Sus scrofa: one gene and its partner. The protein of the gene in region 2 purifies or fractionates together with the protein of the main gene of each other region. This does not show direct contact. Links are inferred from orthologs where the notes say so. Each region holds a gene or a part of one and is shown on either strand. Other genes may lie near its edges. The genes, in order: NAA38 and NAA30.

What was found.
Region 1: the proteins of NAA30 (region 2) and NAA38 purify together in Homo sapiens (co-immunoprecipitation; 3 studies listed by BioGRID and IntAct, with this or other methods). This does not show direct contact. The link is inferred for Sus scrofa from reciprocal best matches to the Homo sapiens genes NAA30 and NAA38.

Annotation. Positions count from the first base shown.
Region 1 is NC_010454.4:53,109,140-53,115,001, forward strand, and holds NAA38 (N-alpha-acetyltransferase 38, NatC auxiliary subunit), read right to left. Parts: upstream 3,109-5,862; 5' UTR 2,885-3,108; coding exon of another isoform or gene 2,845-2,884; coding exon 2,430-2,844; intron 2,270-2,429; coding exon 2,157-2,269; 3' UTR 2,110-2,156; downstream 1-2,109. Other genes in the region: TMEM88 (transmembrane protein 88), read left to right, coding at 491-724, 837-1,109.
Region 2 is NC_010443.5:186,534,680-186,541,212, reverse strand, and holds part of NAA30 (N-alpha-acetyltransferase 30), read right to left. Parts: intron 4,369-6,533; coding exon 4,245-4,368; intron 1,737-4,244; coding exon 1,681-1,736; intron 1-1,680. UniProt on the Homo sapiens protein: Catalytic subunit of the N-terminal acetyltransferase C (NatC) complex. Catalyzes acetylation of the N-terminal methionine residues of peptides beginning with Met-Leu-Ala and Met-Leu-Gly.

The DNA of each region.
Region 1 (5,862 bases), on a different chromosome or scaffold from region 2:
TCTCTGGGGCTTGATTTTCGTTCTGTCGGTTGTTTTTTCTCCTCCACGCTGGGGCTGCGGAAGGGTGGGGGGTTTACAGTCCCGCCCCCTCGCACTGCACTGTCTTTCTGCCCCAGGGGCAGAGGGGTCTTCCCAACCCTCCCCTTATTTTCGGTGATTTTTGTGTGAGAATATTAATATTAAAAAATAAAAGAAAAAAAATCCCGTTTTGATAGCGTGCTGGTGGGTGATAGCAGGGGGAGTACCGGGAGGAGGGCGGCGAGCCGTGATGGATGGGGAGGGACCGCTCGGACCCCGGCGAGGGTGGTGAGCCCCTCCCCGGAGGCGCCTGTGGAATGTCCAGAGCTCTGGTCGTTCCTCCGTTTGGGGGGGCGCCTAATCCTGGAGCCGCATTCCAGGATAAGGGGGGTGGGGAGAGGCCGGGCCGGGGGAGGGGCAGGAAAGAGGGCTATAAGGGCCGGAGCCCAGGCGGGAGGGAGCCAGGCGGGCCATGGCGGATGTCCCCGGGGCGCAGCGACCGGTTCCCGGTGGTGGTGGTGGTGGTGGTGGTGGCGGCAGCCCAGAGCCCCGGGACCCCCTGGACTGCTGGGCCTGCGCTGTGTTGGTCACCGCCCAGAACCTGCTGGTGGCTGCCTTCAATCTTCTCCTGCTGGCGCTGGTGCTGGGGACCATCCTGCTACCCGCCGTCACCATGCTAGGCTTTGGCTTCCTCTGCCACTCCCAGGTGAGCGGGCGGCCCGTGTGGGCGTGTGGGGATGGGGGCGGTGGGGTCTGCGGGTCACCACTCCCGGCCCGGGCTGCCTGGCTTGGGCCTCACCCCTCTTCTCCTCCCACAGTTTCTGCGCTCCCAGGCACCCCCTTGCACCGCGCACCTGCGGGACCCGGGCTTCACGGCCCTGCTGGTCACTGGATTCCTGCTCCTCGTGCCGCTGCTCGTGCTTGCCCTGGCCAGTTACCGCCGCCTCTGCCTGCGCCTCCGCCTGGCCGACTGCCTCGTGCCTTACAGCCGAGCCCTCTACCGGCGCCGGGGCGCCCCGCAGCCGCGGCAAACCCGGGCCTCACCCGGGCCTCAGAGGGCCGTTCCAACATCAGGAAAGGTCTGGGTCTGAGGACTCTCGAGTCAAGAACAACCCGGATGACTGCCCTCCCTCCTAGTGGGCCCAAGGACTTGAAGCCCGGGAATCTCCCGACCTACCCTGCCCCCACGCCTGCTTGGGCCGGGTCCTAGCATCCCCTTGGGGAACCGAAGAGCAGGATCTGTGGTCCCAGCGCTGGTGGAAAGAAACTTCGATACACCCTGGGAAACCCACGTTCCCCTCACTACTATCTGAATTCTGAACATCTGGGCTGGACCCTGCACCCCTCCTGCCGCCCTGTGAAGAGGACAACTGAACTTTGCCGGTGCCCTCCTTTTCCGGTGCTGCTCCTAGTATCTGCGGGTGGGGGATGGGGCACGAGGGTGCAGGGTAAGGAGTGATCACACATCAATAAAGAGATAACTGAACGAGATCCTGGGATCCTGTGAACACAGGGGTAGCGCCAATGTTATCACTCTTGCCCTGTGCCCAGGAGCAGGAAACATGGGGGTGGGGGTAGGATGAGGGATGTGTGGCTCTAGCGTGCAGAAGGGAGCATCCTTCGGCCTCCCGGCCTTCCCTTATCGCACTAGCCCGTCCTTCCTGTCCAGACCCCAGAGCCCTTGTCCCTGACCCCAAAGTCACCTCCCCATCAAGAGAGTGGAGGAGGCCCAGCCTGTGTCGCCTGTCCTGCTCCCCTTGGGGATCTGAGCCTGTTCTCTGACCCCAGCTTAGAGGAACTCGGTGTTGCCAGGCCGGGGAGGGAAACAATGGGCCTTCCGGAGCAGGATGACACCACCCCCTCCCGGACCAGCAGCGTGGGAGGGAAGATGGGGCCCACCCTGGGGCCTGTGGGTCTAAGGCTCAGCCTGTCCCCCATCCCCACCCCCGAACCATAAGGGCACCTCTGGCAGCACTAGACGTGGAAGGAGCGCTGAGAGTGCCCCCGACCTCAGATAAACCTCTTCTTCCTCTAGGGGGGAGGTGTGCAATCCTTGCCCCCCGCATCCCAACCACACACAGACACAGGCCATGTCAGTGACAGGTTTAATGAAGTTTGAAAGGCATGCGCGGTCGGGCTCAGAGATAGGGAGGCCCCGCCAGGCTCTCTCTTTGCACCTCAATAGAAACGATGTGGTGTCCAGGTACCATAGCTAGGCCCAGCACACGGGGTTCCCCGGCAGAGAAGGAATCTGGAAAGAAGGATCAGAGCATCAGGGAGGCAGGCCAGCGTCGGTCCCGCCCCTTCTGAGCTACAGCTTCTGGCCCCCGAAAATGAGGGATACAGCCAGGCCCTGAAGGGGAAATGCTCCGAGGCATTCCCAGGCGGGTATGCATTCCCCAGGCACTGACCCGACGGCTTGAGGAACTCCTGCGCCGAGCCTAGGATAACATTGCAGTCGCGGTCGGTGCAGAGGAAGCAACCGACCAGTGTCCGTCCATCTGTCATGCGAATCCGCATAGTCTTGTTGAGCAGCGCCTCCAGCTGCTGCCTAGCGCGCGCAGACGGCGAGTCTTCGCGCTCCCCGTCTGAGTCCTGCGCGGGGCGGGACATGTGCTCAGACCGCACCGCCCCGGCTGCTGCCCGCCCGAGGAACCACAGCTCCCAACAGCCCGCGGGGCGCTCGCAGGAAGCCCAGAGGCTGCCGGGAGCTGCAGTTCTCCCTCCGTCCTCCCACTTTACTCCCCGACGGCCCCTCAATCCCAGAACCCGAGCCCGCGCTAACCCCGGCGCTGGAGCTGCTTTGACGCCGGCTGCAACAGCCATTCTCCTCTCGTAGCAGCATAGTTGGTCCAGCTCCGGCCATTTGTCCGCGGGCCTCCTCCAGGCCCTTCAACTTGCTGAGAACCTTTCGGCTCCGGGGGGTCTGAGATCTCGCGAGCGCTCCCGACCTGTTTTCTTTCGCGAGATCACCTCCCCTCCTCGTCTCCTCGGCAACTGCAGAGATCTCGCGAGCGTCTCCTGCTTCGGCGAACGGCTCGCTGAGGTCTAGGTCGCCGGATGTCCTCAGATATCGCGAGAAGTTTTCACCTCTCTCGGTTCTTACATATCCTTTAGGAACCCTGGAAGGAAGCGAGAATACCTTTTTTCTTAATCGCACTCCCCACTCCCTTGTTTTTCTGCCTCGCGAGATAGTACGTCCCAAGCACTCCCTATAGCCCAGGCCACTCAAAATTAAAACGGAGGGTCTTTTCCTCCCCCCGGAACTCCGGAGGACACCACTCAATTACTTCAACGTCGGAATCGGACCACGTTTCCCGTGAGCCCCACCTCGCCCTCACAGCGTCTGATCTTGACAGACGGTGGCCGGAAAAGGACAATGGTTTCCATGTCAGCGGATAAACGCCCTCTCCTTAGTTCCCGGACGAGAGGGAGGATGCGGTAGTGAGTGCGCGCTGAAAAGCAAGAGCGCAACTGAAGGAGCCGGTGAGAGGGCGAGAGCCATGCTGCGCCGGGGCCTAGTGGCCGGGCCAGACTTTGAGTATTTCCAGCGTCGCTATTTCACGCCGGCCGAGGTGGCCCAACACAACCAGCTGGAAGACCTCTGGGTGTCTTACCTGGGAAACGTGTACGACCTGACGCCGTTGGCACAGGAGTACAAGGGTAAGGGCTGCACTTTTGGGCCGGCGTCGGGCGTGCGTTTGGGGGTGCTTGGTTCTTGGGTGTCTAGCACTGACACGAATGCCCCTTCCCAGGAGACCTGCTGCTGAAACCCATCGTGGAAGTTGCGGGCCAGGACATCAGCCACTGGTTCGACCCAGACACCGGAGACGTGAGTTCTGCTGGAACCTGGGGTTGGGGGGAGGGGCACTGTAGAGCGGGGACGAGGCGGAGGGGCTGACCGGAGCCCGAGATAGTGACTGCTCAGACCCCCCTCCGCCAAACCCTACTTTAAAGATCCGCAAGCACATAGATCCGCTGACCGGTTGCCTGAGATACCGCACCCCCTGGGGCCGCTTTCTGCACGTGCCACCTCAGCTGCCGCGTTCGGACTGGGCCAATGATTTCGGGAAGCCTTGGTGGCAGGGGTCGCGTTACGAGGTGGGGCGGCTGTCCGCCAAGACCCGGACTATCCGCATCATTAACACGCTCACGTCGCAGGAACACACGCTGGAGGTGAGAACTGGTGCCTGGGGGCAGGTGAGAAGGAACTGGGAGTCCCAGCAAACCTCCTCGCAGATCTGCAGGCCAGCAGCTCTCCGTAACTAGTGGCAGCTGTATTTTTTTTCCGCTTTTACGGGTGACCAAGGGAAGAAGACGACCATGTAGGTCCCCGGGGTTAGCAATTCGAGGAGTGGCTGAGCCACAAGGTGTGAGAGACTCCCTCAGAAGTCCAGGGTAGTTTGGGCGTCGTAGTTTGGTCCTCCCAAGTTCATGTTGAATTTTGAACAGCAGTTGCAGGTGGACTCTCTTATTAGCCTGCTCTATTGTGGAGATGAGGTGAGGGGGCAGTGACTTTAGGGCCAACTGTTTATTAGAAGTGGCTGCCCTAAAGGCTGGTAGGATTTGGGGGCCATTCATTGCATGCTGGAGCTCCATCTTTATTTCTGGGACTGTGGAATGCCTTAAGCCACTATCGGCCAAGGGAAGCACTCTGATCCCAGCTCTATCATCTTTGGGGCTCCTGGCCTTTGCTTTGCTTTGTGTGTGTGTGTGCGCGCGGCGCGCGGCGCGCGCGCGAGCTGTATGCACATGGGTGCTTTCCACTCAGGAGACTGGGGGTGGGCTGCTTTTCTGTTCTCCAGGTGGGGGCTCTGGAATCATTGTGGGAAATCCTACACCGCTATCTCCCCTATAATGCACATGCCGCCAGCTACACATGGAAATATGAAGGGAAGAACCTGAACATGGATGATACCCTGGAAGACAACGGTATCTGGGATGAGGAGGAAGAGCTTGATTCTCTCGATGTGGACAGTACACACCATACACCTGCGTTGCTCCTCTACTTCAATGATGACCTCACCGAGCTATAGGGCGGGAGATGGATGCTTATGTAGAGTCAAGACATTTTGAGTTTAGCTGTTTCTGTGCCCCTTAGGAAAAGAGGTGGGAATGGGGTGTGTGTGTTGGGGGGGGGGTGTGTGCGCGTGCACGCGCGGCTAGACTTCTGTTCCACTCTGGGAGCTGGCCTGTGGTTTCCAGGCCCTGCTGAAGCGTAAAGGTCCTACTCCTCCGCTTCATTACAATTTACTTTGAGAAAGTTGGGGAGAATGCCAGAAGTGAAGTAGTTTATAGGAATGATACCAAAAAAAAAAAAAAACAAAAACAAACAAACAAACAAAAAAAACTGTCTTAAGTCAGGGAGATGTAGAAGAAGATAGTCAAATAGAGCTCAGGTGGAGCTTTTTGATAGTAGGAGAAAGAAAAGTCCTTCTTTCCTGGCGATGATGGGAATGGGGTGGCTGCAAGCTTCCAAAGACAGGCATAGGGAATGTCTATCTCTGGCCATACAAAACTGGCTTCTCTCTCTCTTGAATACTATTTGGCAGCTGAAACCCAAAAGGAAGAAAGAAAGTGAATGGTCATCAGATAATTCAGGCCAGATACTACGCTATACGCCTTATACACATCATTTAATATCACCGCCCATAGGATGGGCCCCAGCGCCACTACTGTACAGATACGTCTTCTGAAGCGTGGCAAGATTTCATAGCACAAAAGGCACACTAATTAATAACCAGAATGCAAACTCAGGTCTTCCCAATTCCAAAGTCCAGGTTCTTTTCAACATAAAGTTAATATCTCAGGGCCCAGGTTCATGGCACAATGGGAACTCACAGG
Region 2 (6,533 bases):
TGTACACTCACAATTTTATACTTAAATTTTCATTACCAATGATATAGTTAGGTTCACTGCACCTTTTACTTTTTGAAACTAAAAGCTGTGAATGTGAGATCCTTAACTATATGTGAATTATCTTATTTGGGGTAAAATTAAATATCCTTAAATCCCAGGATGACTTCCTTGTGCTGTCCAATGTGTCTATAGTCCTTCTCATACAACCACCATTTAGTGTGATCTGTCAGAATACAAACTACAAATGTGAGTAAGGAGCGTGAGAGTACCCTATTCTAACAAGGAATCGTGTTCATGAGATACTGCTAAGTGGAAAAAGTAGTTAATGCAAAATAATAATTGTGATGTCATTTGTATAGAAGACTATGTGTAAATATTTGCACTCAAATGTGCTCAGAAAGTGGGATGGAGTTCCCGCTCAGCAGTTAACAAACCCGACTAGTATCCATGAGGACTCAGGTTCAATCCCTGGGCTTACTCAGTGGGTTAAGGATCTGGCGTTGCTATGAGCTATGGTGTAGGTTGAAGACACGGCTCAGATCCCGTGTTGTTGTGGCTATGGTGTAAGCTGGCAGCTACAACTCCAATTTGACCCCTAGCCTGGGAACCTCCATATTCCTCGGGTGCAGCCCTAAAAAGACCAAAAAAAAGAAAAAAGAAAATGGGAGGAAGCAAAAATTTAATAGTAGCTATAAGTTGAAAGAAAGAGTTGAAATGTGTGAAGATGGTAAAAGGGACTCTGTACCCCAGAATATAAATATATAATGGCTAACAATTGTGTATAAATTTCATACCAAAAAAAACCTACTTTAAAAAAAGTAACCAAAACAAGTTACTTATTGAGATCCACCTGTTGAGGAAAAAACTGCCTATTTTCAAGTGTGATGAACTCTCTAAAGCACATTTGCCCTCCAGTAATAAAGGCAATTGTTAGTTGTACTGCTCACAAAATTACTAGCACAATACAACTCTGTTCCTTCTTAGTCACCACTGTTATATTAAAGATGATCTTCCCTAGTTTATATTGATTTCTTTCCACACTACATAACAGTAACATTCTTAACATTCCCAACCACCACTATTACTTACTGAGCATCAACCATGTGCAAAGCACAGTGCTGCAGGATACAAAGAAATTATACCTGCCATCAGGCCTTACAAACCAGCTGGAGAGAGATGCTTTTATGTTAATATATAGATAGCTCTACCTTTAAAAAGTGGTTGTCTTCCCCCCTCTAGCCTTACTATTTAATGCTGATTTTTTTTTTAATGTGAAATGTTCTTCAAATGGGCTGACAGCCCACATATTAAAAAAATTTAAAAAAGTACTAGAGAGAAATCAAGGTCAATATCCAAGTAAATTACAATAAGGTCTGTAATAAGTGCTACCTCAAATGATTTAACTGATAATAAATCAGAACTCTAAATCTCAGTTATTTACTGCAAATATCTAAAACTATCTTTATATTTTGACACAGAACAAATTTTAGCTCCCATTTGCATATTAAAATTTGTTCTAGGTCAAAATTCATGTTTTTAAATGGAATGTAATTTTCAACATGTTACATTTGCATAGTATAGTTTGCAATGAAATATGCAGTACAATTTATTATGGGATATTTATAAAAATGCCTAGTAGAATACTGTCCAGGAAAAAAGGTCTTAAACATTTAGACTTACCTCATCACAGTCTCCTTCAACCATGGCATATATAGCTTTCTTAACCAAGTTAGTACCTAGAATATAGAGCTGCGTATTAATGAAGTAAAAATGTAATTAGTTTCTCAAAGATGCTTAAATTATAATATTCATAAGCAAAGAAACATCAAATGCTAAGTTCTATTTTGAATGCAAATACACAGATTATCTCAAGTTAAATGGGGAAAACTTTGAACTGAAAGACCAATAGAACCTTCCATAGCAATGTAAGTTTCCTCTTGAAAGATCTAGCTCCTGATTCATCCTTTTCTCAGGTGTACATGCTATTTTGTTCCAAAAGGCAAGATATGGCCAGAGCATGCCAGGACCTCGGAATGTAGTACATGACTTTTGAGCCAAGCTTGCCAAAAATCACATCAGAATTGCTGGGACCCAGAGTGGGCCCAGGACACTGGCTTAGTTCCTACAAACCTTTTAGTAAGCCTGGGCACACTAAGGTCCAGCACTCCCAAATGATGTTAGTAGTGTGTCTATATCCAAATCTGATGTTAAGAGAAGAAATTCAAATTTTATAAGAAATCTCTTAATTTTAAAACCATGTATACAACCAGCACGCGTTACATGGGCCATACAAAACATGTCTGAGGGCCAGGATGCAATCTTTTAAGGCACTGGTTTCTGCCCTCTGAAGTAGGCCAATCTGGCTACCATTTGCCCTGAGTCCTAATCAGCTCTTTTAACTACATCAAAGACTCAAACCTGACTTATACAACAGGCCCAATTCATTAAAAATCTTAGTGGCAAACTGTAATTCTATAAGAAAAGTTGACTAAACCTAATTAAGTGGACCTATCTATGATGATTTCTCAGAATATCTCGGTATGAAACAGGCTTAAGTAGGACATTAACACTCATAGTTTTAAAAAACAACTACAGGGAGTCGTGGTTCAGTGGTTAACAAACCCAATTAGTAACCATGAGGACTCGGGTTCCATCCCTGACCTCACTCAGTGGATTAAGGATCTGGCATTGCCTTGAGCTGTGGTGCAAGTCACAGACCGGCTAGGATCCCGAATTGCTGCAGCTATAGTGTAGACCAGTGGCTACAGCTCCAATTCAACCCCTAGCCTGAAAACTTCCATATGCCATGGGTGCGGCCATAAAAAGACCACACACACACACACAAAACAAAACCTACAAGTTATAAAACTGCTAGTAACTAAATACTGATACAGGCATCAAATCTTCTTTCATGAATACTCACTCAGCTTCAGTACATTTCAGAATCTGTCATGCTCAGACATATGCTTGTCTACCTGATCCTCCACCTTGAACAAAGAGCCAGTAGGTCCTAGATAAGAGGACAGTGGCTCTTAACCAGGCTTACATCATAGTCACCTGGCGATACTTCAGCCCTACTTCTAACAGGACAAACAAGATTCTCAAGAGGAGGGGCCTAAGCATTTGTTTTTAAACCACTTAGATGATTCTAAAGACCATTATAAACCATGAGTATAAGAACATACCAGAAAAGACATGAATTTGGGAATAGTAGTAAGAAACAATTCTTCTTTCTCCTGGTTCTCCCTAATTGCTAATATAATGTTTGATGACAAGTACACCAAATAATAGTAACAATTTCTCCATAACTTTGCCTTCACTGAGGACCATTTAACCCAAGTACAGATAGCTGCTTGAGGGCTATGATCAAGTGCCCTAAATATGCTACTAAAAACTGCAGAACTTAGCATAATACAAAGCATTTTGGATGTGACAAAAAAAAAATGTTTGGAGGTGAAAACTGATCATCTACTAACTGTTAAAAAGATACCTCTCAAATAATGAAACGTTTTTAAAAATTTTATTTTACTATTTTTTTTTTTTTTAGGGTTGCACCTGCAGCATATGGAAGTTTCCAGGCTAGGGGTCGAATCGGAGCTGCAGCTGCCTGCCCATGCCACAGCCACACTGGATTCTGATCGAATCGGCAACCTATACCACAGCCCACAGATCCGAGCCACATTTTCAGCCTATGCTGCAGCTTGTGGCAATGCCAGATCCTTAACCCAGTGAGCGACACCAGGGATTGAACCCGCATCTTCATGGACACTAGACAGGTTCTTTTTTTTTGTCTTTCGTCTTTTTAGAACTGCACCCACGGCATATGGAAGTTCCCAGACTAGGGGTCTAATCAGAGCTATAGCTGCCAGCCTATGCCAGAGCCATAGCAACTCCAGATCCAAGCCGAGTTTGCGACCTACACCACAGCTCATAGCAACACCAGATCCTTAACCCACTGAGCGAGGCCAGGGATCGAACCCGAAACCTCATGGTTTCTAGTTGGATGAGGGGAACTCCTACTCAGGTTCTTAACCCACTGAACACAACGGCATCTCCTAATTGAACATTAATAAAGGAAATAATTCATTGTAAGATGATTTTGAAAATATTTTGGAAATGAAAACAATTATCTTCCCTTAGTTTCATGTTCATTTCTACATATTATTCACATTTAAGTCTTTTGTTTCAAAAAAACAAAAATGAAAATAACAGGCATTCTTTTTGTGACATAATATTTTTCTTACCAATGCCATTTCTCCTGTATTTGGAATCCACGGCTAACATGGCTATATAACCTCTGCGGAACATCTTTTTGTGCATATCCAACTTGCAAACGATGGCACCTACACACTCCTCCCCTACCATGGCCTTAAAAATAAACAGACAGTTACAAAGAATACATTGCCATCAGGTACTGTACAATTACGGAGGGAAACAGCAACCAACCGCTGGTCAGGGGTTTTGAGGCAGGAAGAAATGAGAATTTTAGCAAGAGAGCAGTCATTTAAGTTTCAGAAATCTAATCCCAGAACTCCTTCAAATGTTCCAGTTTTACAATCTTTCAACATTCTTTAGGCCATGAATTTGTTATGTTCATTATCAAAGCCTTGGGGGAAAAAAAGCAAAATTTCCACATAGTAAACATTCAAGTATTTTATAAGATGTGCTTATAATTAGCTGTAATAAAGACTTACATGTTTAAGATTTGGGAAAGGGAAAACATGTGAAAATAATTTAAGAAAAAGTATTTTCATTAGATATGATAAAACAGTGCTAAAGCTATCAACAGAGTACTATAAATTTATACTTAATTATAATAAAGTTTTAGGGAAAGCCAGCTATAAGATAAAGTATTTATACTACACGGTAGAGTTAGATTTTAATCAGGAAGAAAAAAATGTAAGAGATTTTCAGAAAAAAAGATTTTTTTCAAGGTATTCCTAAGATCCTACCTAAGAAGTTTTTGTTACTGAAGGACTACAAAGACTAGATATACAATGGTCTCATTTTTAGGACTCTCCTGACAGTGTGAGTCATTGCCATAAAGCTCATAGAATACCTAGAACTCAAAATCAAACTTCATATTAAAGCAAAAGCTTTAACATAATTTTTACAGCTTTCTAGCTTAATAAAAATGTACAGCCTTCCAGAGCTAAAAATTACATATTAAATTAGAGCTAATCAGCCTCAATTTTCATTACAATTTTCAGTATCACCATTAAAAATTTGTTTTTCAAAAGTTCTATCACTGACAAGTTCCAGCAATACTTCATTCTGGTAAATATAAATAGGGCAATAGTTCCAATTGTTAAATAATGTGTCAGAGAGAAATAATTGTTTGTTGTAAAGAGCCATCATTAAAAATTATTAAAACTTCAAATTATTCTTAATAAAACTAACTTTTCAGAAGACACTATTTCAACAACAAAAACTAGGACTGCGTTTTAAAAAAAAAATCAATAAGCAAAGCCCAATTTATATTTAACGTATTTTATCTTGAATTTGTTACAATTACTTTTTAAAGTTCATCATTCTGTAAATTGATTTAAAAGCATTTCTTCAACTATGGAAAAATCTTTAGGCAAGAATAATTCTAATCCATTTCACACAAACCTAAACTAGGTCAGAAAAATCCTTTTGAAGGGAAATAAAATTCAACAATCCACACTAATTCATTGTTTCAACAGAATCCAAAATTATTTGGGGGCAACAAACCTCTAAAACTGTTATTTTCTTTTTCTTTTTTTTTTGGCCATGGGTACAGCATGTGAAAGTTTCTGAGCCAGGGATGAAACCTGTGCCACAGCATCAGCCCAAGCCACTGCAGTGACAACGCTGGATCCTTAAACCCACTGTGACACAAGAGAACACACATTTCTATTTTTATTCATACCCATCTGGCTTTTCCAAAATTCTTTTGAAAACTATTATTTCTTTCTATATTAAGACCTGAAATAGTACACAAAAGTTGCCTGGTTAAACAACTCTGACAGTATTTTCTGATTTGAACTTATTTCAAATACGTGTGCGTATGCATATATCAGAGATGAAGTGGTACATTAAAAAAATTTTCAGGGAGTTCCCACTGTGGTTCAGCAGGTTAATAACCCAACACAGTGCCCATGAGGTTACAGGTTCGATCCCTGAGTTAAGGATCCAGCATTGCCACAAGCTGCAGCACAGGCCACAAATGCGACTCGGATCCAGTGTTTTTGTGGCATGGGCTTGTAGCTGGAGCTCAGATTTGATCTCTAGCCTGGCAACTTCTATGTGCCACAGGTGTGGTCATAAAAAGAAAAAAAGTTTTTTTTCAACCTGATCTCATAAGCTAGGGAAAATAGAAATCCATATAAATCTATGACACAGAACTGTAGGACAGCCATATTTCAGTTAATAAATTATCCAAAGGAGAAAAAAATTAAATCCACTAGACACAATACAACTGGACTATACTATCAAATTGGATAGGCATTTCAAACAAATCTTTGTCCTTTGACCAAGAAAGGAATAAACAAGCCAAACAATCATATTAG